Anolis sagrei: one gene and its partners. The protein of the gene in region 4 interacts with the protein of the main gene of each other region in a pairwise test. Links are inferred from orthologs where the notes say so. Each region holds a gene or a part of one and is shown on either strand. Other genes may lie near its edges.

The links.
Region 1: the proteins of PPP1CA (region 4) and RANBP9 interact in a two-hybrid assay, tested with the Homo sapiens proteins (2 studies listed by BioGRID and IntAct). The link is inferred for Anolis sagrei from reciprocal best matches to the Homo sapiens genes PPP1CA and RANBP9.
Region 2: the proteins of PPP1CA (region 4) and SH3RF2 interact in binary tests that used the Homo sapiens proteins (3 or more experiments, as listed by UniProt). The link is inferred for Anolis sagrei from reciprocal best matches to the Homo sapiens genes PPP1CA and SH3RF2.
Region 3: the proteins of PPP1CA (region 4) and ZFYVE9 interact in binary tests that used the Homo sapiens proteins (3 or more experiments, as listed by UniProt). The link is inferred for Anolis sagrei from reciprocal best matches to the Homo sapiens genes PPP1CA and ZFYVE9.

Annotation. Positions count from the first base shown.
Region 1 is NC_090024.1:80,067,041-80,074,484, forward strand, and holds the start of RANBP9 (ran-binding protein 9), read right to left. Parts: upstream 3,018-7,444; 5' UTR 2,690-3,017; coding exon 2,239-2,689; intron 1-2,238. UniProt on the Homo sapiens protein: May act as scaffolding protein, and as adapter protein to couple membrane receptors to intracellular signaling pathways. Acts as a mediator of cell spreading and actin cytoskeleton rearrangement.
Region 2 is NC_090022.1:97,525,851-97,532,840, forward strand, and holds the start of SH3RF2 (E3 ubiquitin-protein ligase SH3RF2), read left to right. Parts: upstream 1-3,975; 5' UTR 3,976-4,198; intron 4,199-4,582; exon of another isoform or gene 4,583-4,689; intron 4,690-5,282; 5' UTR 5,283-5,433; coding exon 5,434-5,814; intron 5,815-6,990. UniProt on the Homo sapiens protein: Has E3 ubiquitin-protein ligase activity. Acts as an anti-apoptotic regulator of the JNK pathway by ubiquitinating and promoting the degradation of SH3RF1, a scaffold protein that is required for pro-apoptotic JNK activation.
Region 3 is NC_090024.1:173,922,569-173,929,969, reverse strand, and holds the start of ZFYVE9 (zinc finger FYVE domain-containing protein 9), read left to right. Parts: upstream 1-4,394; 5' UTR 4,395-4,637; intron 4,638-7,401. UniProt on the Homo sapiens protein: Early endosomal protein that functions to recruit SMAD2/SMAD3 to intracellular membranes and to the TGF-beta receptor.
Region 4 is NC_090021.1:232,682,138-232,689,656, reverse strand, and holds the start of PPP1CA (serine/threonine-protein phosphatase PP1-alpha catalytic subunit), read right to left. Parts: upstream 3,004-7,519; 5' UTR 2,780-3,003; coding exon 2,725-2,779; intron 1-2,724. UniProt on the Homo sapiens protein: Protein phosphatase that associates with over 200 regulatory proteins to form highly specific holoenzymes which dephosphorylate hundreds of biological targets.

The DNA of each region.
Region 1 (7,444 bases), on a different chromosome or scaffold from region 4:
TTCAAACAATTGATGACTGAATCCATGGATAAGGAAGGATAACTGTGCTTTGAGCAAAGACTCGAGTTTATGAAAAACTGACTTGAATGACATCATTTTGTACTCTGGACAAGAACAACACATTGGCTCTGTCTCCCATCCTTTCCTATACTCATTAGACAATTTTACCAAAGCCTGCCTTTCATAACTCAGAAGATTATCTGGATGTGTGCTTTCCAGGTTTGTATTCATTTGTGTTCTTTGGGCTTTACTATCATAGTTGTAAGGCAAGTAGTTGGCAGTTGTTGCCTATTTGGTCCTATTTATACACATCATTTTTGCTACACATATAAAAGGAAAATACTATGTGAGGCAAGAAATCCCAGCAGAGTGGATAATTCAGTTTCCTTGATATGAAATTTACTTTCTCCATTATTGACTCATGAAATTTATGGGGAAGATTAGATTAAAATACAGGGGAATCTGAAATTGAAGAACTAACATTGACTGAACTTTGAATTGTATTGTTCATAAGCAAGCACAATGCCATAGACAAAATTCCCAGAAATAAACAATGGTTCTCTAACCTTTCTCCTCAAAAACCTTTCTTCTCCTACATTTGTTCTTCCAACTTCAGCTGACCTTTGCTCTCTTGCTAAACAAACACACATTCCTTGCCCTAACTGGTTATTTTTAATTGGACACGTCACACTGACTGGCTTGCTTTCTCCTCCCCTGACCCCAAGCTGTGATTTAGCAAGAGAACTGATCAGGCGGGCAGCAGAAAACCTGCCAGTTTATATATCCTCCTCTAACCCAAAGCAGAAAGCAAAACATCCTTACATGTTTGATGGGTGGAGAGAAGCAATCGCAGAGGGAGGGATAAAGTCGGATTGTCTCCACTTGGGTTTCCGAAACTGTTCAGAAGACCCAATGAGAGTTACTTCCTGTTGTTCTATTTTTCCACATTTCCCCCTCCCTCCGTTCCCCTATGTGAGCTTCTTCGCAAGATGCTACTAAGGAAGGAATACACAAATACACACACATTACCAAGGAGTGTGTGTATACACAAATATGCTACTAAGATATATATATATATATACACACATACACACACACACTCACAAATATATGCTACTAAGAAAGGAATACAGATATACACACACTCACAAAAATATGCTAAGAAAGGAATACAAATATACACACACTTACAAATATATGCTAAGAAAGGAATATAAATATATATACACACAAATAAGTGCTACTAGGAAAGGAATACAGATAAACACATTCACAAATATGTGCTACTAAGGATTGTATACACACACAGACAAAGAAAGGAACACTGCACACACACATATGCTACTAATAAACATGAATATATTCACACGCACACATATGATTAAGACAGGAATATCATATATACAGTATATACCAGGCATGGGCAAACTTTGGCCCTCCAGGCATTTTGGACTTCAAAACATTTATGGGAATTATGGGAGCTGAAGTCCAAATCAGCTGGAGGGCCAAAGTTTGTATATACTCATCTATCTATCATCTATATACTACTGGTATATACTCATCTATCTATCTATGATAGTAAGGAATATGTTATACAGTATACAAACATATATATGTATGTATATATATGTATGTATGTATGTATATATAAACACACATATATGCTACTAAGATATAGACATAGATACACAATACACAAACACACAGAGAATATATACTAAGATATAGATATATAAACACATACACAGGATACATATATATATTTATATATATAAACACACACACAAACTTGTATATGCTTATTAAAGGGGAGGAAATAACCGCAGAGATTAACGCCACAGATCCCACCCCATTTCTCTTTCATACCCTATTAAGACCAGAGGCAGAAGGATCTGGTTTAACGCGAAAGGGGAATAACAATAATCCCAGGCCTAGTTTCCTAGAGAACAGGCCAGATTGCTCAAAATCCCACCCGAGGCCGAGGAAGGAGGCAGGAAGGCCCAAAATGGAAGAGGGGATCCGTGTGAGAAGGGGGGGGGGGGTGACTATTGTCCTCCGAAGGAGAGAAGGAGAGGGAGGGGGAAACTGCTATGTATTGAAGAAGAAAGGGAGGGGGCAGCATTGTTGGAAATCGGGGTGCACGCGCGGGGGGGGGGAGAGGGGAGCGCGCCCTCCCTCCCTCCCTCCTTCCGGGGCCTGGTCCCGGGCCTGCTCCTGGGCCTTGGGCTGGCTGCTCACCTTTGTAGTGGACGCGCAGGTTGTTCTGCGAGAGGCCGATGTAGCTGAACTTGTCCTTGGGGCTCCAGGAGCGGGGCAGCGGCGTCTCCCCCTCGTCCACGGCCGGGTAGAGGCGCTTGAGGCGGCGCTGGAGCTCCTTCTCCTGCTCGTTCAGGGCCGGGTCCCCGACGCTAACGCCAACGCCGCCGCCGCCGCCGTGAGGGAAGGCGGACGGGGCCCCGCTCCCGGCTGCCATGGAGGCGGAAGACGAGGAGGCCGAAGAAGGAGGCGGCGGCGGGGCCGAGGTGGCGGGCGGAGGTGGCGGCGGCGGGTGAAGCAGCAGCGGGGACGGGCCTGTGTGGGCCGGCGCTTGAGGTGGCGGCGGAGGAGGCGGCGGGGGAGGAGGAGGAGGGGGAGCCGTGGCCGGTGGCGGAGGCTGCTGCTGCTGCTGCTGTTGTTGTTGCCCGGACATGCCGGCCTCGTCCGCCCTCGACGGCAAGGGGAGGAAAGGGTGTCTACACGGAGAACAGCCCGAAACCGGAGTGACAGTCTGAGGGGGGAGAAGAGGAGGAGGAGGAGTCGCGGCTGCCTCGGCTGACGGAAAGCAACTGAGCTCGCGCGAGGACGAGGAAGAAGGGGTTGGAAGTGACGAAAGGCGGGGAGGATGACGTCGGCGGTGACGACATGAGCTGGCGGCGCGAGGGAACGGGCGCGCGAGTGAGTGAGTTAGTGAGTGAGGGCGCGCGCACCCACCCTCGAGACGAACGCGGCTCCGCTCGAGCTGAGGGGAAAGAAGGCTGCTGTCTCTGCTGCTGCTGGTAGGTAGGACAGTGCTATTACGCGCGCGCACACGCAGGCGCGGTGACGTCGGCGCGGTCCTGGAAAGTGGAGAGAGGGCGGGTGCGCGCTTTAGTCAATGAGAAAAAGCAAAGAAGTGTGCAAACTTGGCCCCACTTGTAAAACTTCTGAAAACGACACAAGCCTCATCTCATTCAGAATATATATATATATGTATGTGTGTACATACATATATATGTGTGTAGGTTTGTGTGTGTGCAATATATATATTCTCATTCAGAATATATGTGTGTGTATACTGTATATTTTCATTCAGAAATGTGTATGTATACTGTATATATATTCTTTATATTCTGTATATATAAACACCTTTGCAGAAGCATACGAGAAACTCGACCTGTCATTGAACATTAAGAAAACCAAAGTGCTGTTCGAGCAGACACCAACCAATTATTATTATTATTATTAAACTTTATTTGTACCCCGCTAGCATCTCCCGAAGGACTCGATGCGGCATACAAAGGCCAAGGCCTCAACACAACAACAGCATAACAAATACAACTCAAAGCAAATCAAAAACATAAAGCAATAACAACAAAACGTTACACCATAACACAGTAAAAACTAGGGCCAGGCCAAGTAATGGGTACAGATTAAAAAGTGCTGGGTGTGACAGGTGGTATGTTGGATTTCAGGACAAGTGCAATGTGCAGAGAATCTTACAACTGTAATAAAGTGCTTCAGGGACATAATGCTGGAGTTTTCCTATTCCAGAAATAGCACTGATGGAATCGTTCCAGGAGTTGCATGTGACGTCTGTAGACAGTCCACGTCACCAGCCAACCCCTCTCCAATGCCAGAGATACAGCTTAGAAAATGTTGACCATTTCCGCTACCTTGGCAGCCACCTCTCCACCAAAGTCAACATCGACACCGAAATACAACACCGCCTGAGCTCTGCGAGTGCAGCATTTTTCCAAATGAAGCAGAGAGTGTTTGAGGACCGGGACATCCGTAGGGATACCAAGGGGCTTGTTTATAAAGCTGTTGTCCTCCCAACCCTGCTATATGCCTGCAAGACGTGGACTGTCTACAGATGTCACATGTAACTCCTGGAATGATTCCATCAGCTCTGTCTCTGAAAAATCCTGCAAATCTCTTGTGAAGACAAGCGGACAAACATCCGCGTGCTGGAAGAAGCAAAGACCACCAGCATTGAAGCGATGGTCCTCCACTGGACCGGCCACGTTGTCCGGATGCCCGACCACCGTCTCCCAAAGCAGCTGCTCTACTCCGAACTCAAGAACGGAAAACAGAATGTTTGTGGACAAGAAAAGAGATTTTAAGATGGGCTCAAAGCCAACCTTAAAAACTGTGGCATAGACACTGAGAACTGGGAAGCCCTGGCCCTTGAGCGCTCCAGCTGGAGGTCAGCTGTGACCAGCAGTGCTGCAGAATTTGAAGAGGCATGAATGGAGGGTGAAAGAGAGAAACGTACCAAGAGGAAGATGTGTCACGCCAACCCTGACCGAGACCGCCTTCCACCTGGAAACCAATGCCCTCACTGTGGGAAAAGATGCAGGTCAAGAATAGGGCTCCACAGTCACCTACGGATCCACAAGAATACTGATCCTGGAAGACTATCCTACTCGCCCAATGACAGGTCACCTAAATAAGTAAGTATATATTCTGAATGAGAAGAGACTTGTGTTGTTTGCAAAAATTTTGCAACAAGTGGGGCTGAGTTTGCATATCTCTTTGCTTTTTCTCATTTATATGTACATATATGTATGTGTGTACATGAAGATATATATATGTGTGTGTGTGTACATATATGGAGCCCCTGGTGGCACAGTGGGTTAAACTTGCTGACCAAAAGGTCAGCGGTTCAAATCTGAGTAGCAGTGTGAGCTCCTGCTATGAACCACAACTTCTGCCAACCTAGCAGTTGGAAAACATGCAAATATGAGTAGGTCAATAGGTACTGCTCCGTCGAGAAGGTAACGGTGCTCCAAGCAGTCATGCTGGCCACATGACCTTGGAGGTGTCTACGGACAACATCGGCTCTTCGACTTAGAAATGGAGATTAGCACCACCCTCTAGTGTCGGACATGACTAGACTTAATGTCAGGGAAAAACCTTTACCTTTACCTATGTATGTATGTGTATATACACACACACACATATGCATACACACAGGCAGTCCCCAAGTTACAAACATCTGGCTTATAAACAACTCACAGTTAAGAACAGGGCCAAGACAACAGGAAGTGAGAGAAATCTGTCCCCAGAAAGGGAAATTCACTCCTGGAAGAGCTATTATCATGGTAGAAATGTGTCTCTACTGAAGCTTTCTCACGCATCCTTATTTCTACAAAGCCACATTTTTCAAAATCCAACTATTCCAGGGGCAGAAAGTGAGGTGAAATTTTCTGAACAGGGACACAGGCAACAAAACAAGCACCACAGGGACGTCAACCCTTCACTATTCTATCCAAACTAAACAATATGTATATTTGGCTGGAATTACACTTTAAAATGTACCTGTTCTGATTTACATACAAATTCAGCTTAAGAACAAACCTACAGAACCTATCTTGTTCGTAATTTGGGGACTACCTGTACACAAAATATGTGTGTGTGTATATCATAGAATACATATATACATACAGAATGGGAAAATGCATGCATGCACACTGTCATTCCTCCACATTTGCAATTTTGACTTTTGCGGAGTTGGTTATTCAATTCATGCATCAGATTAAAAACTATCTCCCTGGGAATCTCTTCTTTATTCATGGGTTTTCCCTTTCACGTGAGGCCTGTGGCCTTAACCCCAGCAAATGTGGAGGCCTGGCTGTATAGACAGATCCTGAATGAAGTGAAGAAGGGTTTTTTTTCCACTTAAGCTTATAACATTCCTCCACTTGAAACCTTGAGACAATACAGTAGGCTTCAGTTACAATGTCAGTAATAGGTAGGGAAAACTTGTCCTTCTGCTGATTTACCACCAACTGGTATTTCAAATAACATATAGTACAGTATGTTGTCCTATATTGGTGCAAAATAGGACTCTGCTCACTCTTTTGCCATTAGAGGCAGCACAGGGGAGAGCATACCATTTTACATGTTTTCTCTCTCTCCCTGAACATGAAAATATCACTAGTACAAAAGTAACACAGTGTGATGAGGTCCTAAAACAAACTTAATTTAACACAGTTTTACTGTATTATAAAAACCGCTTTTTATTATTTAAAATAATATTTATTTGATTTTTTTCACCAGTTAACTGAGGCCCCCTCTACACTGCCATATAATTCAAGTTATCAAAGCAAATAATCCACATTATCTGCTTTGCGCTGGATTGTATGAGTCTACACCACCATATAATCCAGTTCAAAGCAGATAATCTGGCAGTGTAGAAGGGGTCTGAGAGTTCATTGTAGAGTTCAATCAGGGGGGAGATAGGATTGGGTTCTTACACAGTTTAACTGTTTGTTTTTAATATAATTGATTTTTTTCTATTTTAATACCATTAATATTTTATTCTATTTTAATGTTTGTATATTTTTACATTTTAAATTGTATTGCAATGGTTTTACTGTAAACCAGTTTGAATAATAAATAATAATCTATATAAATAAAAATGTGATGTTTGTTTGGGATTAACATAACTCAAAAACCACTGGACGGATTGACACAAAATTTGGACACTACACCCCTACCAAACCAACGAGTGACCATCACTCATAAACCTCTCCCAAAAAAACAGCAGAAAGGACCTAAAAACCCCAAAAAAGTAAATGACAATACAACGCATGCGTGTCAATGACAACTCCCAGCATCCCAAGTCCTTTAGGAGAGGAGGGTGCACCAAATGCACTGCTTCCAAGCTACAAACTTGCTTCTCCTTGGATTTCTTTGAGAGTATTCCAATCCATACATATTTCCTATTTCCTATTCCTGGACTGCAACTCTCAGCAATCCTCCAGATAAATAAGATATATATATTAGATATAGATAGTAGGCAGACAGATGAATCAGGTTCAGGAGGATTGCTGGGAGTTACAGTCCAAGAATAGGTAGAGAAGGAAGGAGAGAAAGAAAAAAGGAAGGGGAAGGAAAGAAAGAGTTAGAGAAGGAAGGAAGGAAGGAAGGAAGGAAGGAAGGAAGGAGAGATGGAAAGAGAGAGGGAAGGAAGGAAGGCGAGAAAGAGAGAGAGAGAGAAAGAGGGAGGGAAGATTGGTCACAGCAATTTGTGGTGGGTACAGCTAGTCTTATATAAATAAAAATGTAATGTTTGTTTGTGGGATTAATATAACTCAAAAACCACTAGATGAATTTGGACCAAATTTGGACACAATTCGCCTATCAGGCCAATGTGTGACCATCACTCATAAAAACACTGAAAAACACAGCAGAAGGGACT
Region 2 (6,990 bases), on a different chromosome or scaffold from region 4:
TAGACCCACAGGATAATAGAGTTGGAAGGACCTACCAGCTATTAGGACTTATGGAGTTGAAGTCCAAAACACCTGGAGAGCTGAAGTTTCCCCATGCCAGCTCTAGCCCACCCTCCTGCCATACAGCAATACACCACCAAAGCACTCTTGAAAGATACCCATCAACTTCTGTTTAAAGAAATCCAAAGAAGGAGGGTCTGTTGACCTATGATGAAATCATTTCCTTTGTTGAACAGCTCACAAAAAAGGGTCTTCCAAATGTTTCAATACGACTTAGATGAAGGGTTAGAAGGCAGGATCATCAAGCTTGCAGACGACACCAAATTGGGAGGGATAGCCAATACTCCAGAGGACAGGAGCAGGATTCAAAACAATCTTGACAGATTAGAGAGATGGGCCAAAACTAACAAAATGAAGTTCAACAGTGACAAATGCAAGATACTCCACTTAGATACTCCACTAAATAGGAAGTGAAAGAAATCTACCCCAGGAAGAGAAATTCACTCCTGAAAGTATTCTCATGGAGAAAAGGTGTCTCAGCTGAAGGTTTCTCTCCTATCCTTGTTTCCACAACAAGCCAAATGTTTCAAAATCTGATTATTGCAGAGACAGAAAGTTTCGTGAAATTTGGGCACAGGCAACAAAACAAACACCACATATATGTCTGGAGTTACACTGAAAAATGTATCTGCTCTGACATACATACAAATTCAAATTAGTAACAAACCTACAGAACCTATGTTGTTTGTAACTTGGGAACTGCCTGTATGCCATTTGGTCAGGCCTCTTGATGCTGCATAACAGTTTACAAGGAAGTAATTGTAAAACAAATGAATGACAAATTAATAAACGTACAGCCATAAAACCCTGTAATGTATGTTGACAGTTTGTCAGAATTTCCAGTGATGAGTGAATATATAAAAAAGGTGGACTGAGATAAAATACATTTATAATTGCAGAAATGCCAAACACTGTAAGCCTCTTGTGGTTCTTCTCAGCTGAAGGTAGCTGTCACTTCTGCAAATGAGGTAGAGAAAAGAATAGGACCATTTATTACAAGAATTACAAGTTCCTTTCCTTCTTACTTCATGTCATGCTGCATCCACCCTACTGGGAGCCTGCCTCCGCCCACAGGCTCCCAGTTACTTTGTATCCAACTTTTCCTTACCCAAGAGAAGCTCCTCAATGCAACGCCAACTGATTATATTACAATCATTATTGTGAGCACATGTGTGCATATATCATATATGTGTACATTTTGTGTGGACACAATGGGCTCTAGGGCTAAATGTATCCTTTCCAACCTTCAGCCCATCCAGACTTCTCAACTGTCCTTTTACTTGTCATTAAAAAGGGAATATTGCTTTTCCTAGAGGTTTCCAGGATTAGCAATTTACTTTTTAAATAGCTTATACTCCACCCTTCCCTGTTAAACTATTTAACTTTAATATGTATATTTATATCTAAACCAGAAGGAGCTCCAGCCACATTCAGATTTCTGAGTGAGGGCACTTTTATTGGTTCATGTGGCTCCAGAGGACCCTAGGGACAGAAGTTATAACATTATAACATTAATTAATTTAAAATGTTTATATTAGACCCTTCTCATCCCACAGCAGACTCAGGGTGGAGCACAATATACAGAAAAATTTAATGCTGGGACATAAACTATTAATATACATAAACATTAACATCAGTTATATCGACTTTAAAATCAACTGTTTAAAACCATCTCAGGACACGATTCTATTATTGCCTCATTGAACTGCCCAAAGGCTTGGTCACCATCCTTGTAAAGGACAGGAGGGAGGGGGCTTATCTAATATTGCCAGGAAGGGAGTTCCATAGCCGGGGGCAATCACTGAGAAGGCCCTGCCTCTCATCCCCACCAAAGGCACCTGTGACGGTGGCAGGACCGAAAGCAGGGACTCCCCAGAAGACTTTGTCTTTGTGGTAGTTCATAAAGGGGGATGTGTTTGGACAGGTAAACTGGGCCAGGGACGTTTAAGGCTTTATAGGCCAAAGCCAATACTTTGAATTGCGCCCAGTAGTAAACAGGCAGCCAGTGGAGCTGACATAACATGGGAGTTGTATGCTCCCTGTATACTGCCCCAGTTATTAACCTGGCTGCCTCCCATTGGACTATTTGAAGCTTCCGAATAATCTTCAAAGGCAACCCCACATAGAGTGCATTGTAGTAGTCTATCCTGGATGTAACGAGAGCATGGACCTCCGTGGCCACATCTGATTTCCCAAGGTACAGGCGCAGCTGGTGCACAAGTTTTAATTGTGCAAAAGCTCCCCTAGCCACCTCCGCAACCTGAGATTCCAGGCTCAGCAATGTGCCCTCCAGGAAGACTTCCAAGCTGTGAGCCTGTGTCTTCAAGGGGAGTGTTACCCCATCCAGCACATATACCCTGTTCAGCCTTGCAACTGACCAGGAGGACCTCTATCTTGTGTTCATTCAACTTCAATTTGTTCACCCTCATCCAGACCGTCACTGCAGCCAGGCACCGATTCACAACCTGGACAGCCTCCTTAGAAACCGGTGGAAAGGAGTATACCGCTGGCGTCGAATTCCAAAACTCCAAATGATCTCACCCAATGGCTTCATGTAGATGTTAAACAACATGGGAGACAATACTGAGCCCTGCGGAACCCCACAGGACAATGGCTGCGGGGCCGAGCAGGTTTCCCCCAAAAACACCTTCTGGATATGATCCTCCAGGTAGGACTGAAGCCACTGCAGAGGACTACCCCCAAGGCCCATCCTTGCAAGGTGACCCAGAAGGATACCATGGTCTATGATATTGAAGGCCGCTGAGAGGTCCAAGAGAAGCAACAGGGACACACTCCCCTGTCAAGCGCTCTGCAGAGATCATCCACTAAGGCGACCATGGCTGTCTCAATTCCATGACCCGGTCTGCGACGGATCCAGATAGTCAGTTTCGTCCAAGAACCCCTAGAGCTGCAAGGCAACCACACGTTCCAAGACTTTGCCCAAAAAGGGGAGGTTGGAGACTGGTCAAAAGTTGTTCAAAGCAGTGGAATCCAGTGAAGGTTTTTTCAACAGAGGTTTTATCACAGCTTCTTTTAAGTTCACTGGAATTTTGCCTTCCCAAAGGGAGGCATTAACCACCACCTTTACCCACTCTGCCAACCCCCACCCCCAGGCTTCCTTTATCAGCTAGGATAGACGGGTCCAGGATGCACGTGGTCACTCTCACCTCTCCAATAATCTTGTCAACATACACCTATACATATAGGCTGAGTGGACAGGGCAGGAGAAGTCCACTTCATCAAGATTTCAGTTGAAGGCAATGCTTTCCTAAAGTAGTTGTCCACAACAATAAAAACTGTCCCTTAGGGGAGCATTAAAAAAACTCCTATACCATCCTACTGGAATTCTAGATTATTAGAGAAGCCCACAAGTATCACCGAGGTATAATATGCTGGCTCTTTTACCAGTACTATGCTTGCCAATTTAGGCTCTTATTTTAGATTTCTCATGTTTTGTATTCTGCAGTGAAAATGTTGCAAAGAAACTTTTTAAACACTGTGACTTAATCCTATATAAACACAGCCATCCCACAAAAAGTCAATTACATCTCATGTTTTGCTCTGCCTTGGTACAGTACAGATCTGTATATATCTACTCAGAAGTAAGTCCCTTTGAATTTCAGTGGGGCTCACTCCCAGGGAAACCAGTACTGGACTACAATCTTAACCCCCCACAACTGCATTCCTTGTGTACTTCATGTTTTTCTTTGCCTTTGTGTGCAGACTCTCCATGGTTTTGTTTTCTCACCCTTCTACACACCTCCTCCTTGGTTCCTAAAACAGATTGGCTTCATAAAAAAAAGGCTGAGCCAATTTATTGATCAAAGTTGCACTGGTACAAAGCCAGATTAGCTCAAGCATTTTTTTTCCTCCAGGAGAAAAATGCACCAACGGTTTCCTCTTTCTTAGTTAATAATTCTGTTTCCCTGTTCTCACTTGCCTGAAGTATATGTAGGAGTCACAGGCTGGCAAGCTATGAGTTAACAAGGCAGCATGTGTTAAGTTGAGCTAAGTGAGTAATGCACCTAGTTAAAGTTTTCAATGCGGCTGCAATTTGGAGAGTGAGAAAAGGGGAAAGCAACACCAGGAGCAGTTATTCCGTGAGCTGAACTCGTTTTGAAGGGGTCATGAACACAAGGTCAGTGGTACTGCCAAAAATTAGTAGACTTTCTTCCTTTCTTCCTTTTCTTCACAGTTTCCTCCTTCAAATGGAAGCCATACTCTGCGAAAAGCTTTAGCACTTATAGCTTATGACTCTTCCCAGTAGTGTGTAACTTGTTCAGTGGCCGGCTAATGATTTGAAGTGTTATATAACGCAAGATTTTTCAAGGTTTAGGATATAGAAGGACAGGAGCACCATTTGGCAGAACTGATCTGAGTATGTTTTCCTGATTTTGAATACACAGGCACCTTGGTGTAATATGGGATGGTGCAGGTTTTCCGCAGGCCATGACTTGAATTCAGGATTAAGTATCTGTTTCACTTTAGCTTGCAAACTGTCGGAAAGGTGCTAAACAGGTTGAGTTGCTTTTAGGCAGTGGGAGGGTTTTCCCCCCTTCTTTTGGACGATCAAAGCAAGCTACAATACTGCCAGTCCCTGAAATCAAGAAATGCTGTCTGAACTTCCAGGTACGCCAAAGCAATGTTTGCCATCAAAGTGACTTGCAAATGAGAAAATATAGAAAATTCAGCAATGCTTTTTAAGATAATGCGAAACATTGTGGGTGGTTCTCAGAGAGTATGTGTAAGCGATGCCTGATTTAGAAAAGGAGAATAAAAAGGGTAGAGTGTGTTAAGCCATGTGTGTCAGTGGAACACCTTCTTTCTTTATCTGGTGTGCACATTTTACTGTTTTCACTGGATGTTTATTTTGGGGGGTGCATTGTTTTAAGGTAGAATGATCCTTCATCAGTACACCCATGGAAGATTGTATTGCTCTGGGAGAATCACATCATGGAAAAAATTAATTTCTCTTGTTTTTAATCTTTAGTCAATGAAACATGGGTCTTTCCTGACACTCATTAGGCAACAATTCTGCTCACTGGCATTTATTTGCAAATTATTATTTTTCTGCTAAATTTGGTTGTGTGGGGTTGTCAGGGAATACATGGTGCAAATTGGATCATGAAACATTGCTACAAAATGTAGGTGGCATACATTTCATAACACTGAAGTTGTCAGGTTCTGCAATTTCCCCCTCTCTCTTCTTTTTCTTCACACAGGATGTTGATTTTCAGATTCAAAAATTACATGAATCCACAAGGTTCATGGTGAAATATTCCTGAGCAACTGTCCTTTACTCCAATAAACATTATGTGGATTTTTCCAGCTCTCCATTTAACATTAAAATAATAGTGTAACAACTGCCCTAATATGGGCGATTTAGCTTTATTTGACATGTTGGAGTGCCCGTTGTGCTTGGGGAAGCTGGATATTTCAGCCAAGGTGCTCCCCTGCCAACACACTTTCTGCAAGCCTTGCCTCCAGAGAATCCTGAAATTACACAAGGAGTTGAGATGCCCAGAATGCCGAGCCCCTGTCCTCTGCAGAATCGAAGAGCTTCCTGCCAACTTGTTTTTGATCCGCTTATTGGATGAAATCAGACTTGGATCAAATGTCATGAAGTATGGCTCACTTCAAAGATATGGGACTCTCTCCTCTCCCTCTTCCCTCAGGAGAGTCCGGGGAGAGCCAAGAGCTTTGCAACTCCACCAATATGGGCTGACTTCCAATCCCAGGATCCCTATAGAAGGGGTAAGAATCTTCCCTTTCTCTTATCATTATCTCAGTTAGTAGATTTGTAGGCCATTTTTCATTGTAAGGGTGTTGGATAGATTCAGTTTATGCCAAAGCTGGTTGCCTTCCTTCTAAGCTACCGAGTTATCTTAACTGGATCTCTGCAGCAACTTCGTTTTTAGGTGTAAATTTATTCTGACTGGAACAATTTCAAGCTAAGAGCCTGGTTCCCATGTTTTCAAGGGATTGCTCTCTCCAGCTGAGCCTGAAATTGTACAGAGGCTTTTCAAAGTGACGTTAGAGTCCCTTCTATTTCCAGTCTTAGATTAAACCAGGGAATGGAAAAAATGTTTAGATGTGGGAGAGAAAAACAACTTTCACACCTGTCGAGGATACAGAAAGGTTTGATTTTTCACAGAACCTTTTTGAAAATAATGATTTATTCTGTCCTGTTACAACATGAGCATGGGGGAGGGGGAGTCTTTGATCCTTTTAAAGGGATGTGGCAGGATCTGAGTATGGATAAAAAGTAGGTCAGCTGTGCCCTAGATTCTCTTGTTCCTAGTCATACCAACACTTTTCTCTGGGGTCTTACACAGAAAGCTCCTAGCAAGTTCCACCCCCTCCACACATATTTGACTTTGCACATATTTTGGGGGATCAAGTGTGTTGATTTGGCTCTTGGCATAGGTGGAGGATTCAGTCTATAAGAGCGAAAGCCTCCGGGGTTTTATACCTTTGACTCTGAATGCTTCTTAATATGGTTTTGCAAAAGCATGACTTTGCAGGAAGCTCTTTGAAACTAATTATGCCTTATATAAGTATACTCCTAGGGAAAGCAGATGCATTTTTAGAGTTCTGATTCAGGTTTCCTTCATCGGTGGCTATTTGTTGTGAGACATCCCTGTAAAGAAAAAAGGCATTTGAAGGAAATCTCAGTTGTGAAAAAGACACCAGTAAGGATAGGTTTAGGCAAGCTTGTTCCTACTTAATTCTGTGTGGTATCATCTTTGATTGTAATTTGTTGGAGCAGCACCCTAGATAAACAGCCACAGCAAGTTGTAATTGGGGAAAACAACCCAGTGTCTTCCACACACACCCCATACTTGTCAAACTTGAAATTATCTGTAACCTAGATCAATCGCATACTAAGTGCCTATCACTAGAGTTTCACCCATCTTCTCATATCTACAT
Region 3 (7,401 bases), on a different chromosome or scaffold from region 4:
CTCCCAGTCAGAGTTCCTTCTAAGTTTGTTTTCCTGCTGCACGAGAAACCAATGAGTCCAAGAGCAAATCTAGCTTGAGCTCTCACAAGAAGCCAACATGACTCATTTCCATACCATACTTTGGAAATACAATGAGATGATATGACTAACTGAAAACGATATTAATGCTCAGTAAAGTGGAAGGCAAAAGAAAAAGAGGAAGACACATTACAGATGGTCTGATACCAAGAACTTTCTCTCTAAACTGTATGGTGTCACATGTTATGTTCTGTAGCCAGGCATAATATGGGAACTGATTTATTTTTATGTAAAGCAGACCTGTGTGCTGTGATGCATTTGTGTGTCAACTACAGTATGTAGGTGTGTTGCACGAACGTAATGCGAAACTGGGTTGCTGTGTATGGCCATGTTTCAGAAGCATTCTCTCCTGATGTTTCACCCACTTCTATGGCAAGCATCCTCAGCGTTTGTGAGGTTTGTTGGAACACCTCCCAACAAAGAATTTCGCCAGGCAGAAGGTAGCCAGGCTTTGAAGCTGCAAGGCTATTCAATGCCAATGAAGCTGGCCAATTGCAACATTCCCACTTGCCTCAAACAAAGAAGAGACATTCCACAAATATATAAACCTCACTTGCCTAGTTTCCAACAAACTTCACAACCTCTGAGGATGCCTGCCATAAACGTGGGTGAAACGTCAGGAGATAATGTTTCTGGAATATGGCCATACAGCCTGGAAAACTCACAGCAACCCAGACTTCAATAACACGTAATGAGAAACCTCTGAGTCTATATGATATGAAAGGTTTAAATAGGATACCTTATGTACCCATGCTTTTAGTTATTACAGTTTATGTATGTATTAGTATCCCTTATAAGGAGTTAGTTTAACCTCTGGTTTGCTAATAAAACTGAATTACTGTGTCGCTAAATGGTCCAGGTCTAAAAAGTAAGTCACCAACATGAAATGTTTGGAAAGCTCTAACGTAGTTTAGTTGGAAACATTAGTGTGGGTATAATTCAAAGATATAGCTGAATTAGTCTGGAATATCAAATCTTGTCATAGAGGCTAACTGAGAGTCAAGTTGGTAGCATAAGTATTCTTAGATGAATCTAAATAAAAAGACTTAGTCTATTAAAAGGTATGCTAGGAATTCTAGTCTCAAAAAGCACAACAAGATGCTTTGTATTAATGTGAGTAGCCACTAGGCTAGGAATAACAAGAGACAATTTAATCAAGCAATTTCCTGAGGTGTGATGGGACTCTAAATTGAACGAGAAGTATTTAAAAATGTATTTGAAAGTGATTTTTTGATCAAAAGCAGAGTTTTCTGGGTGCCATAGACTCAAAGGATGTGCTGGACAATTGACAATGATGGCAACAATGCATATTTTTATGAATATATAGCTTCATGCTCATATCTACCTTGGCCATTGATGGAGCAGTTAGGTATACATTACTCCAAACACAATAATTTATTGTTAATATAGTGCATAATTAAGACATTTAAATGGCTAAAGATTTTCTATATCTTGGTTCACCCATGCATCGAGGAACCAGAAAGCAGCTGTAAAGGAAAAAAAGATATTCAAGTGGAAAAAGATACATGATTAAATACCAGAGTCACATGCCAAAAAGACTAATAAATGAGTCCAAGAGCAAATCTAACTTGAACTCTTACAAGAAGCCAAAATGACTAATCTGAGGAAACCGTACTTTGGAAATTTAATGAGATGACGTGACTAAGTGTAAATGATATTAATGCTCAGTACAGTGGAAAGAAAAAGGAAAAAGAAGAAGATGGTATTACACACAGATTGAGTTAATCCAGGAAGCCACAGCCTTGACCTTCCAAGACCAAAGCAGAGCTGATGATGACCAGTCTTTTGGGGGAATTGTATTTATACAGTTGCCATAAATCAAAGCCAATTGACACCAGCAAATAAGTGTCTGTATTAGCATATAACTAAAAGGCAACTGTATTAACTTTACCCTGCCCCCCCCTTTTAATCTAGGTATATAGTTGTTTCAAGAAATCCTTATGTTTTTTTTAAAGATATAACCTTCCTGATTAAAGTCCATATAGGCTGAATATTCCTTATCTGAAATGCTTGGGACCAGAAGTGTTTTGGAGTTCATGTATTGTTTTTATTTAGAAATGCATTTATTTGCATATAGATACTTAATGAGATATCTTGGAGATAGGAACCAAGTCTAAACAAGAAGTTAATATATACAGTATTTAATATTTAACACATAGCCTGAAAGTAATTTTATGCACAGCATTTTTAATGTTGTGCATAAAATAAATTTTGTGAACCATTTTGTCACCCATGCAAACAATTTAGGATTCTGGAGGATTTCAGAAATCTGGATAATGGATGCACAACCTATATTTTTATCGACTGTACAAAAACCTATTTTATTACCCTTTGATTGCGTATGTTTTTGTGCCAGATTCTTATTGTGCTTTAGTTAATATTTAGTATTAAAATCAGCCCTCCATATTTGCTGGGGTTAGGGGTACAGGACCACAAGGAAAGTGAAAAACCCTGAATTCAGAATCTGATACTTTTTTAAAACATGAGAGTATACATTGTGTTGTCAAAAGCTTTCATGGCAGGAATCACTGGGTTGCTGTGTTTTCTGGGCTGTATGGTCATGTTCCAGAAGCATTCTCTCCTGAATGCTTCTGGAATGAATGGTCTTGCAGCATCAAAGCCTGGCTGCTTCCTGCGTCTGGAAATCCTTTGTTGGGAGGTGCTAGCTGGCCCTTCCAGGTGGGAGGGAGCCAGGCTTTGAAGTTGCAATGCCATTCAATGCTAATCAAGGTGGCCAATTGCAGCATTCACACATGCTTCAAGCAGACGGGTTCTTTCTCCCACTCTGGACATTCTACAGATATATAAACCTCACTTGCCTAGTTTCCAAGAGACCCCACAACCTCTGAGGATGCCTGCCATAGGTGTGGGCAAAATGTCAGGAGAGAATGTTTCTGGAACATGGCCATACAGCGCAGAAAACTCATAGCAATGCAGAGCACTCATGGCTAGGTCGGTCTTTCAGAATGATTCAATGCAATGGCCAACTTCCACTGGAAACTGACCACAGAATTGCATTGGAGAGCCTAGAGCAGTAGTTCCCAACCTTTTTTGGGGGGGGGGGGGGAGGGGAGGTCATGCCCCACCTTAGCATCTCTAAAATCCTTATATCCACCCCCCTTTTTAAAGCATTAATTTGGTCTGAACAAGCTTACAAATAAAGTGGGATCCATCTATATAAATAAAAATAATGTTCGTTTGTGGGATTAATGTAACTCAAAAACCACTGGGCAGATTGACAACAAATTTGGACGCAAGATGGATAAGAAGAAAAAGGAAGAGAAGAGAAAGGAGGAAAAGGAAAGAGGGCAGGGGAAGAGGGGGAGGAAAGAAGAAAAGGGGATGAGGAGAAAAAAGGAAGGGAAGTGGCAGAAGAAGGAAAAGGAAGAGGTGAAGAGGAAGGCGTTAGGAAGTGGAGAAAGAGGAGAAAGAAATGGATGAGGATAAGAAAGAAAAGGAAGAGAATAGAAAGGAGGAGAAGGAAGAGGGAGAGAAGAGGACGGAGGAGAAGAGGAAGAGAGGAAGGAAAAGAAGAGAAGAAGGAATGATGAGGAGAAGGAGAGAGGGGAGAAGGGAAAGGAAGAGGGGAAAAAGGAAAAGAAGAAGGAAGGATGAGGAGGAGAAGGAGGAGAGAGAGGAGAAGGAGAAGGAGAAGAAAAAGAAGAGAAGGAAGGATAAGGAACAGGAGGAGAGAGGGGAGAAGGAAAAGGAAGAGGAGAAAAAGAAAAAGAAGAGAAGGAAGGGTAAGGAACAGGAGGAGAGAGGGGCGAAGGAAAAGGAAGATGAGAAGGATGAAAAGAAGAGAAGAAGGAAGGATAAGGAGGAGGAGAGAGGGGAGAAGGAAAAGGAAGAAGAGAAGAAGGAAAAGAAGAGAAGAAGGAAGGATAAGGAGGAGGAGAGGGGAGAAGGAAAAGGAAGAGGAGAGGAAGGAAAAGAAGAGAAGAAAGAAGGGTAAGGAACAGGAGGAGAGAGGGGAGGAGAAGAGAAGGAAGGATAAGAGGAGGAGAGATGGGAGAAGGAAAAGGAAGAAGAGAAGAAGGAAAAGATGATAAGGAAGGAAGGATAAGGAGGAGGAGAGAGGGGGGAAGGAAAAGGAAGAGGAGAAGGCGGCAAAAGAGGAGGAGGAGGAGGAGGAGGAGGAGGAGGAGGAGGAGGAGGAGAAAATGGAGCATGACCAGGCGGAGTCGCCCCTGGCGCCCTGCGGAGGGAGTCCCGCCTCCTGCCTGCCTGCCTGGGCGCTGGTGCCGCAGTGCCGTGCTCTGCCTCCGGGTCCCGCCAGGGGGCGCTCGTGTCTCCGGGCTGAGGCGGCTTCGCGAGGAGTCAGCCGAGGAGCGGGCCACCGAGGAGGAGCTCGCTTGCTTGCCCGCCCAGTGGAGTGGAGCGGAACGGAGCCAGGGCCCGAGCGGGAGCCGGAGGAGCCGGAGGAGCCTGGGCCCGAGCGGAGCTGGCCTTCCCTGCTCGGCACCCTCCTCTCTCCCTGCCTGCCCGCCCGCCCGCACGCCCGCCATGCAGGCCCCGCGGTGGCGGCGCCTCCTGAGGTGAGCGAGCCCCTCGCCCGGCAGGCCCTTCTGCCCTCCCCGCCACCTCCTCCGCCCAGGCCCCAGTCTCCCTCGCTCTCTCTATCTCTTTCCCTCTCCCTGAGGCTTTTGTCCTTCCTGAGCCCCCGTTGGGAAGGAGCCTCGTCTCCCGCCTTGCGCCCCCTTCTTCTACCTCCTCCTCCTCCTTCACCGGCCGAGCAGGCCCCCTCGCCGCCTCAGGAAAGAGTTGGGGGCGCCTCGTTGGGGGCAGCGCCCTCCCCCTCCTTCCCAGGTGGCCGCAACAACAACAACAACCCTCCCTCCCTCCCCCTCAGCACTGCCCACTCCCCTTCAGGACAGGCCCCGCGCCCTTACGTCCTTTCCCCCTTCTCGGGGCCCTTCCACACAGCCCCATATCCCAGAATATCAAGGCAGAAAACCCCACATTATCTGAATGTAGACTCTGGGCCCTTCCACACAGCCCTATATCCCAGAATATTAAGACAGAAAATCCCACATTACCTGAGTGTGGACTCAGACAACCCAGTTCAAAGCAAATATTGTGGGATTTTCTGCCTTGGGATATAAGGCTGTGTGGAAGTGCCCTCGGAGTAACCCTCCAGACCTCCTCCTCCCCTGTCCATACTCCTTGCTTGTTTTTGCAGTTCTGCCTTCTTGCACCCATCTTTCCTGCTCTGCTGCTTCATAAGATGTATCTCTCTCTATGTATGGGTGTGCGCATCTATGACACAAAATAGGACATCTCTCTCTCTCTGGCCCCTTCCACAAAGCTGAATAAAATCCCACAACATCTTCTTTGAACTGGATGATCTGAGTCCAGACTGTCATATATTCCAATTCAGAGCTGGAAATGTGGGATTTTATTCAGCTTTGTGGGAAAGGGCCTGGAATACCTCCGCCCCCTTCCACACAGCTGAATAAAATCCCACATTATCTGCTTTGAATTGGAATATATGGCAGCGTGGACTCAGATAACCTAGGGCCCTTTCACACAGCCCTATATCCAAAAATATCAAGGCAGAAAATCCCACACTATCATCTTTAATTGGAATATATGGTAGTGTGGACTCAGATAACCCAAGGCCCTTTGAAACAACCCTATATCCAAGAATATCAAGGCAGGAAATCCCACACTATCTGCTTTGATTTGGCATATATGGCAGTGTGGACTCAGATGACCCAGGGCCCCCAGTGCAAAGCAGATATAGTGGGATTTTATGCCTTGATATTCAGGGTTATATGGCTATCTGGAAGGGCCCTGAGCCCACTCTGCCATATATCCCAGTTCAAAACATAACTAGGATTTTATTCAGCTGTGTGGAAGGATCCAAAAATAACCCAGTTCAAAGCAGATATTATGGATTATCTGCCTTGATATTCTCGGTTATATGGCTGTGTGGACCCCCCCCCCCCAATCTATATATAATGACACAAAATAAGTATGTGCATATATATTTATGCATGTATGTGTACACACACACAAACATACAGACAGTCCCTTATTTTCAAACATCCAACTCATAAAGGAGTGAGACAACAGGGGAGCCTTCCACACAGCCCTATATCCCAGAATATCAAGGCCCACAGGTTGAGAACCACTGATATAGGCAGGTGTCCCCCCCCCCCCCCCCCAGATATATATCTGATACGACTCCTGTTTGCTACGTGTCTTATTTTGTGCCTGCCTGAGGTGCTTTCCATTGACCTGGCTTAATTCTTTGCAAATAATGTGTTCCCTATTAAAATAATTTGAAAGGTGCCACTGTTGCTGAACGAGAATGCTTTTTGGGACACAAGGTTACTTTTAATCATCTTTGTAGTTATGCCTGTGTAAACAGAGTTCATCCTAGTGATAAAACTGACTAGACAGATTTTTCAAACGGTGCCTTTTTCATTCATAGTAATGTGGATAGGGAGGCCCAGATGATGCAATAAGCTGTTCTTTACTTTTATTATGGGCATTACAGGAAGTTATCTTGCTTGAATGCTTAGGTGTTGGCCATCTGAGGCATTTATGTGTATTGGACTGAAATGCATTCGAACAACCTATTGTTTTATTAATAGATTTGAATAATAAGAACAGGCCCAGAGTGCAAAATCTAGAAACTCTGAATGATTTGGAGAAGTTAATATAAATTTTCAGCTCTGAGCCTGTTCTTGTGCATGTATACCTTACAATTGATGCAAATTTCGAAGAGGCTAATAGAACGAGGAAGGAAGCATAGAGGTCATGCTGGAGGTTAAAAGGACAGCTGATGTGTAGGACATAGATACTTAGAATGATAATGTCTCATTTATTTAATATAATAAACCTGGAACGTATATATACAGGAATGAGTTCTGGTTTGAGTAATGTCTAATAGTGTCTAAAGGTTCACATGCTCTTCTGGGCTTGGCCTTACAGGGAACAAAATGAATAAATACACTTTATTAGTTAGCAGTGCAAAGGTGCAATCATGTGCTAGCAAACAGTTATCTTTCAGGAGTCTATTTCACACTCCATATCTTTTGAATTGTAATTGCCAGAACTTCCTGAGACAAAATATGTGAAGTGCTTTCCAGATTAAACAGTAAGCAGACTATTACTTTGTATGTTATCATGTGGTAAATGTAGGGGTTTGAAGGTTTGTTGGTAGAACTTATTTTTATTTCATAGCTGATCATACTGGATTTCTTAAATTCTTAGTGTCCCCCCCCCCCCCCCATAAACATCTCTAAAATAGGTTGGGTCTTAGAATGTTACACATATAAATAAAGTTGTTTT
Region 4 (7,519 bases):
CAGGAAAAGGTATTCCACCTAAATAAACATCAGGAAGAGCTTCCTGGCGGTAATAGTGGAATATGCTGCAACCTGAGGGTGTGGCGGAGTTTCCTTCTCTAGGGGTTTTTCAGCATTGGGTGGATGGCCATCTGTCAGGAGTGTTTTGATTGTGTTTTTTTTTCCTGCAGGCAGAAGAAGCATGAACTGGATGGCTCAGAAAGCACCATAAAATAAATTAAGTCAATCAATTAATTAATTAATTAACTTTAGATGTTAACTAGTTACCATGTTAACTATATTTTTTGAAGCAACTTCCTATTATTAATGGCAATTTTAGTTAAGTTTAAAGAACACCTGAATATTATAGGCAGCTACTCTATGGCACAGAAGGCTATCTTACTTTCTTTTCATAGAATCATAGAGTTGGAAGAAACCTCATGGGCCACCCAGTCCAACCCCCTGCCAAGAAGCAGGAAAATTGCATTCAAAACACCCCCGACAGATGGCCATCCACCCTCTGTTTAAAAGCCTCCGAAAATGGAGCCTTCACCACACTCTGCGGCAGAGAGTTCCACTGCTGAACGGCTCTCACAGTCAGGAAGTTCTTCCTAATGTTCAGGTGGAATCTCCTTTCCTGTAGTTTGAAGCCATTGTTCCGCGTCCTAGTCTCCAAGGAAGCAGAAAACAAGCTTGCTCCCTCCTCCCTATGACTTCGCCTCACAAATTTATCCATGGCTCTCATCATATCTCCTATCAGGCTTCTCTTCTGCAAGCTAAACATGCCCAGCTCTTTAAGCCGCTCTTCATAGGGTTTGTTCTCCAGACCCTTGATCACTTTAGTCGCCCTCCTCTCTTCCATTCTTCCTGTGAAGCCCTCCTGGAGTGCAAACTTGTCCGGGGGGGGGGGCGCTTTGGCTAGGGGCAGCCCCCTTAAAGGGGCCCCTGGCTGGAGGACAGAGGGAGTGTACCCGCCCACTTCCGGCTCGCCTTAAGGCTTGGGGACCCTGGGGATCTCACCAGGCCTTTGGGCTTCTCTGCCAAAGAGGGCGACTGCCGCCTCGCCAAACTGCGACTCCTTAACACTCCAAAGCATTGGTTAAGCTGGGGCCACACCGCATGCACTCCTCTGTGTAGATGCACCCATTCCCATAGATGCGTAATACGCAGCAGCCCCTTCTTCCCCAGAGCCATGATGTTTCCCTAAGCGATGAAGAGGGCCGCCTCCACGCCCAAATCCCCCCAAACCGCCTCTGCTTTCTGTGCCTAAAGGTGGGAGTCTTAAAGGAAGCTTCACCCATACTCAAAACTCTCCTCGCCCTCCCCCCAAAATGGATGCATCGATCTACATTGTAGAATGAATCCAGTTTGATCCCACTTTTAACTGCAGTGGCTCTGGAATCCTAGGACTGGTCGTGCCGCGAGGCACTCCTTGGCAGAGGAAGCTGAGAAAGGCCTTTTGCAAGCGACGACTCCCAGAATTCCAAACCATTGCGCCATGGGCGGTTAAAGCGGGGTCAAACTGCGTTAACCCTGCAGTGCAGAGGCACAACAACAAGGAGAATGTCTGCCTCCGCCTCTCCCCCTTTTGGGGCACATTCAGGGGGCGGATGAAGCTGATAAATATGGCCTTTTCAAGCGAGGACTCCCAAGATTCCAAACCACTGAGCCCTGGTCGGCTAAAGCGGGATCAAATTGCGTTAACCCTGCAGTGTAGAGGCACCACAACAAGGGGAATGTCTGCCCCCGCCTCTCCACCTTTGGGGGCCCATTCAGGGGGCGGATGAAGCTGATAAATATGGCCTTTTCAAGCGAGAACTCCTAGGATTCCAAACCACTGAGCCCTGAGCGGTTAAAGCGAGGTCAAACTGCGTTAACCCTGCAGTGTAGAGGCACCACAACAAGGGGAATGTGTGCCCCCCCCTCCACCTTTTGGGGCCCATTCAGGGGGCGGATGAAGCTGATAAATATGGCCTTTTCCAAGCGAGGACTCCCAGGATTCCAAACCACTGAGCCTTGAGCGGTTAAAGGGGGGTCAAACTGCATTAACCCTGCAGTATAGACACACCGCAACAAAGGGGAACGTCTGTCTCCCTTTCTCCTTCTTTTGGAAGAGGATGAGGCGCCCTTTTCGTTTCCCTTTGGCCTGGAAAACTCCCCCAATCCGAGGCCCCAAATACACTTATCACACTTGAGAATGAATCCACTTAAAATCCGGTTTCTGGCTCCTGCAGAATTCTAGAGTTTGTAGTTTAGTGAGGCTGTTAAAAGCTCCTCCCTAAACTACAAACCCCAGAATTCTGCAGGAAGCAGAAACCGGGTTCAATGTGGATTCATTCTCTAGTGTGATGAGGTCTTGAGTGGCGTTTCAAACCGGTATGGAAGAAAGTGTAGAGACACGACTCCATAGGAGGAAAATCCTGGAACCAGTTTGACTGCCCGCCATGGGGAAGAAGACAGGAAAGAAGGAAGGAAGGAAGGCACAACCCAATGGAAAGAAGAGACCGCGCACCAAAGTATGGGCTTCCTACAAGAGAGAGAGAGAGAGAGAGAGAGACAGACAGACAGACAGACCCAAAGGGACTGGTGTGTGTGTGTGTGCGCGCGCAGGAAGGGCTTCCTTTCTCTCGCGGGTGGGAGCTTGTTCCCAGGCCGCCGCAGTTGGAAAGCGAGCTTGGATCCGCATTAAATATCCAGTGGAGACGGGGCTTTGGGGGAGGGACAAGGCGGCTGCTCAGTGCTCACCTTCCAAGAGGCGCCCGATGATGGAGTCCAGGTTGAGCTTCTCGCCGTCCGACATGGCGGGAGAGGAGCGTCTCGGGGCTGAGACTGAGCCTTCCTTCCTGCCTTCTTTCTTTCCTTCCTTGCTGCTGTTTCCTGGGAAAGAGGGAGCGGCCGGGGAAAAGGCAAGGGCAAAGCTTTCCGTCCGCGCCTCCTTCTCGCCGAAGAGCCTCCGCAGCCGAAGCGAGGGAAGAAGGAAGAGAAGGAAGAGAAGGAGGGAGGAAGTGGAAAGGAGTGACGCTGCTGCTCTTGCTCCTGCTGCTCCTACTCTGCCAACCACCTCCTCCTACTGGCTGGAGGGAGCAAGGCTTTCCTGCGATTGCGCCAGCATTCTCTCTCTCCGCTTCCTCCCAACACAAGGAAACAGAGACACAGGCAAACCTGGGCCCTCCAGGTGTTTTGGAATTCAACTCCCAGCCTTCCTCACAGCCTCAGGCCCTTTCCTTAAGCGGCTGGGGGGGGGGGGGGGGAAGGGCCTGAGGCTGTGAGGAAGGCTGGGAGTTGAAGTCCAAAACACCTGGAGGGCCAAAATTTACCTGCGCCTGATCTACACGGTGTAAAGAAATATAGGACCAGGCTGAGCACCACACCTGGCCCTGGGCCAGAAGGTTGCCAGCCCCATTTTGGAATGTGTTTTCAACCTGGATAGAGATGATTCACTCTGTGTGTCATTCAGAAACCATGTGGTTGTTGCAGGGCGCCTTTGAGTCAGCTGATGGGGACCCTAAGGCAAACCCATCATAGGAGTCATAGGAGTTGTGGTTTTGCAAGGTCTTCTGCTGTCTCTGCCTCACCAAACTCCCACCATTCCATAGCATGGCGGCATGGCGGTTAAAGTGGTGCCAAACTGCGTTCATTCTACAGAGTAGATAAGTTGTTCTCAACCTTCCTAATGCCCTGGCCCCTCAATACACTTCCTGATGTTGTGGTGACCCTCAACCATAACATTATTTTTATTGCGAATAATAATAATAATAATAATAATAATAATAATTGTTGTTCATTCGTTCAGTCGTCTCCGACTCTTCGTGACCTCATGGACCAGCCCACGCCAGAGCTCCCTGTCGGCCGTCACCACCCCCAGCTCCTTCAAGGTCAGTCCAGTCACTTCAAGGATGCCATCCATCCATCTTGCCCTTGGTCGGCCCCTCTTTCTTTTGCCTTCCACTTTCCCCAGCATCATTGTCTTCTCTAGGCTTTGCTGTCTCCTCATGATAATAATAATAAACATTTATACCCCGCCACCATCTCCCCAAAGGGGACTCGGAGAGGCTTACATGGGACCCAGCCCGAACAAAAATTACAATATAACAATACAAATTGCAATCAAATAAACAACATAACAGTAAAATATAAAACATCAAAGCATATAAAACAATATACACAAAACATAGGAACTAAGCATAATGACAGACAAACAAAGGGCGGGTCGCATGTACATAAAATGATTTAAAAACTCCGGGTGAGATAAGGGGGCAGAACTAATTGTAAGGGTGAACTCAGAGAGAGATAGGAAATTAAGCCAACATTCGTAGGGGGGGGGGGGGGGGACTCCTGAGATAAGAACATTGGAGGAGCGCTAGCATAAAATTATATGGCTACTCTTCAAAAGCGCAACGGCAGAGCCAGATCTTAAGACTTTTTTTAAAGTTTCCAAGGTAGGGGCTTTCCTAATCTCTCCGGGCAGTGAATTCCAGAGCCACAGAGGAGAAGGCTCTCTCCCTTGTACCCACAAGGCGAGTCTGAGAGACTGGCAAGGGCAAAAGGGGGCCTTGCCCAAGCATGAAGCCGGGGGGGGGGGGGGGCTTGAGGGGCTTCAGCCCCCCCCCCCCCCGAAATTCTCATGGTGGTTCGCAAAAAGGTGCATTATTTAAACTGTTATGTTTATTCATATCATTATCTGATCATCATGCTCAATATATCCCATATACATGGGGGTATTGGGGTAACGATACAAAAGGTTTGCTAGGGTAGACCCTCTTTCACTCAGATTCAGCCCCGCCCCCCGAAACAAACTCAGCTCCCCCCCCCCCCCCGAATCGAAATCCTGGATACGGGCCTGGCCTTGCCCGAAGATCAAAGCGTACATAATACACTTCCTGATGTTGTGTTGACCCTCAACCATAACATTATTTTCATTGCTACTTCATAACTAATTTTGCTACTGTTATGAATCTATATAAATAAAAATGTAATGTTTGTTTGTGGGATTAACAGAACTCAAAAACCACTGCACGAATTGACACCACATTTGGACACAAGACACCTAACAACCCAATGTAGGTCCTTCACCCAAAAAAATTTGATTTTGTCATTTGGGCGTTGTAGTTGCTGGGGTTTATAGTAGCATCTTGAGACTGAGAGAAAAAGATGTTATTATCAGCTTTCATAGCCCAAATATATGTAGTAGATGTAGCTTTTTAAGGTTATGCTTCCATTGTCTTTCAGTCTCAAAGGTGCTAAGATATCTGTTTGCAAAGGGATATCTGGCTGATTCAGATGGGGTTTTTGATTGTTTCATGAAGTCTCCTTTTTCTGTCGTTGATTGCAGTTTTGTTGTTGTATTTGTTCTATTTACCAAGAAAATATAGTCCAAAATATAGTCCAAAACAGAAGGAAGGAAGAAGGGCAGAGGGCTAGATAGAAATCTAATGAGTAAATAATACCTACACCAAGGTCGTGCTCCAGAAGGATGATACAGAGTGCAGCTTGTGCCGATGGGAAGAGATGGGAAGAGATGACACCATCTACCTGTTGATTCTTCCCCAGCACCTGTGAACTCAGAGACAACATCTGGTGGGGTCTCCTTGTGTGCAACCCCTTCTGGAAAGCATTGTGGGTAGTTATCCTGTGTTTTCTTTTTGGGGAGTTGTTTTCTGCTCTCTTCCACTGTGTCATGCTCCCCACCCCCTTTGCTTTCTTTACTACTACCGTCCCTTGCATCAGGAAATGGTTGCGGGAGGAAATGGCTTGCAGAGCGTGTGGGGAACTCAGTCACAGCAGCAGCAACAAGGGGCATAGTCATGGGTGCAAGGTATTGCTCGGCTCAGAGGTGATGCCCAGGCCTCAGCAGGTGGCATGAAATAAAGGACCTGTCAGCAGTAGGGTCTACAAGTAAGATTTGAAGGGGAATATGTCGGACCCCTCTCTTTCAGCAGAGCTTCCTGAGGACAATGTAAACCAAGCTTTGGCTGGACTACCAGATGCTTTTGATTTCTCCCTGCGGGACGATGCCAGCTCCCTGGGCTCTGACTCTGAGCTGAATGGGATGCCTCCTTATCGCCAGACAGATCGCTTTGGCTTTATTGGGGGCAGCAGCCTCCAAAATGGGTAAGAGAGAAACTTGGGGAAATTAATATTTTGGACTACATTTCCCAGATTTGGAAAGTTGTGGTCCAAGCTCTGGGGGCCTCTATTGCTCCCCCCCCCCCACCACCACCACTCTCAGTTTCCATGGGCTTCTATTGCAAAGACTATTGGGATGGGAGGAGTGTGTGGCTATGATGTGCACAAGACATAGCACTTGAGACGAAAAAGCTAGTGAATATTCTCCCTGCTACAGGTTGATTGTATAGTTCAGACATGGGCAAACTTCACCCCTCCAGGTGTTTTGGATTTCAACTCCTACAATTCGTAACAGCCTACCAGCCATTAGGAATTATAGAAGTTGAACTCCAAAACACCTGGAGGGCCAAAGTTTGTCCATGCCTGGTATAGTTGCATCCATCTTCTGTTTTTGGAACTGACAATGACTTAAGAAAGAGTTAGTTCTTCCATTAGAGTTCTTCAATGACTGTCCCTAATGAGATTTCATCCAAACAATTTAGACTATAACATCCATAAACTCCAGCCAGCAAGTTGGTGGTCAGTGATAATAAGATTGGGACCCAAAACAATTGCAGGATATATGGTAGACCTGACCTTGTGCTTAACCAAAGCCACGTTTCTAATAGAGATGCCAGCTTTATAACGGTTTTTATAATGATAACGTTAGGAAAGAGGGGTGCTAAAAAGAAGTGACACAACCCATAGACTTCATATATTAAGCTCCAGGAATTGCTTTAGGACTGTGTTAACTTTACATCTTTGTTTTTTAAATGTTAAGTTGGATTTGACTGGCAATTCTACAAATCAGAACCCTTCAAGACACTTTGTCATTATTAGCTCTGCACAAGTCCTGCAAACTCAGGACTTATTTAACGAAGGGTGCATATACACTGCAGAATGAATGCAATTTGATGCCACTTTAATAGCCATGGCTCAATGCTACGGATTCCTGGCATTCGTTGTTTGGTGAGGGACCAGCATTATTTGGCAGAGAAGGTTAAAGACCTTCTCAAACTACAGTTCCCTTTACTCCATAGCACTGAGCCTTGGCAGTTACTTCATCACATCTGAAGATCTTATCTAATTCTTCGTGGTTATCCTCCCAAGACCTACTGTTCATAAAAGAAATAAGTGAAAACTAGTCAGTGAAGCATTTTCACATATAGACTCAAAAGTCAGAAATGTGACAGATAAAGATTTATTGCTTGACAGAATTCATATTTTCTTGTCACAATAGCGTTCAATGATTCAAGTAGCTGTAGGAAGGAACATTCTGGTTCTGTGAAAAGCCTGTCCCTCCCTTTCTCATTTGAATATAACTCTTTTGGGTTTTCTGTACCCTTGGATATAGTATAATACAAGAACTTTTGCAGCAGCATTACGTGTGTGTGCATGCACACACACACACACACACACACATTCAAATGCTAGA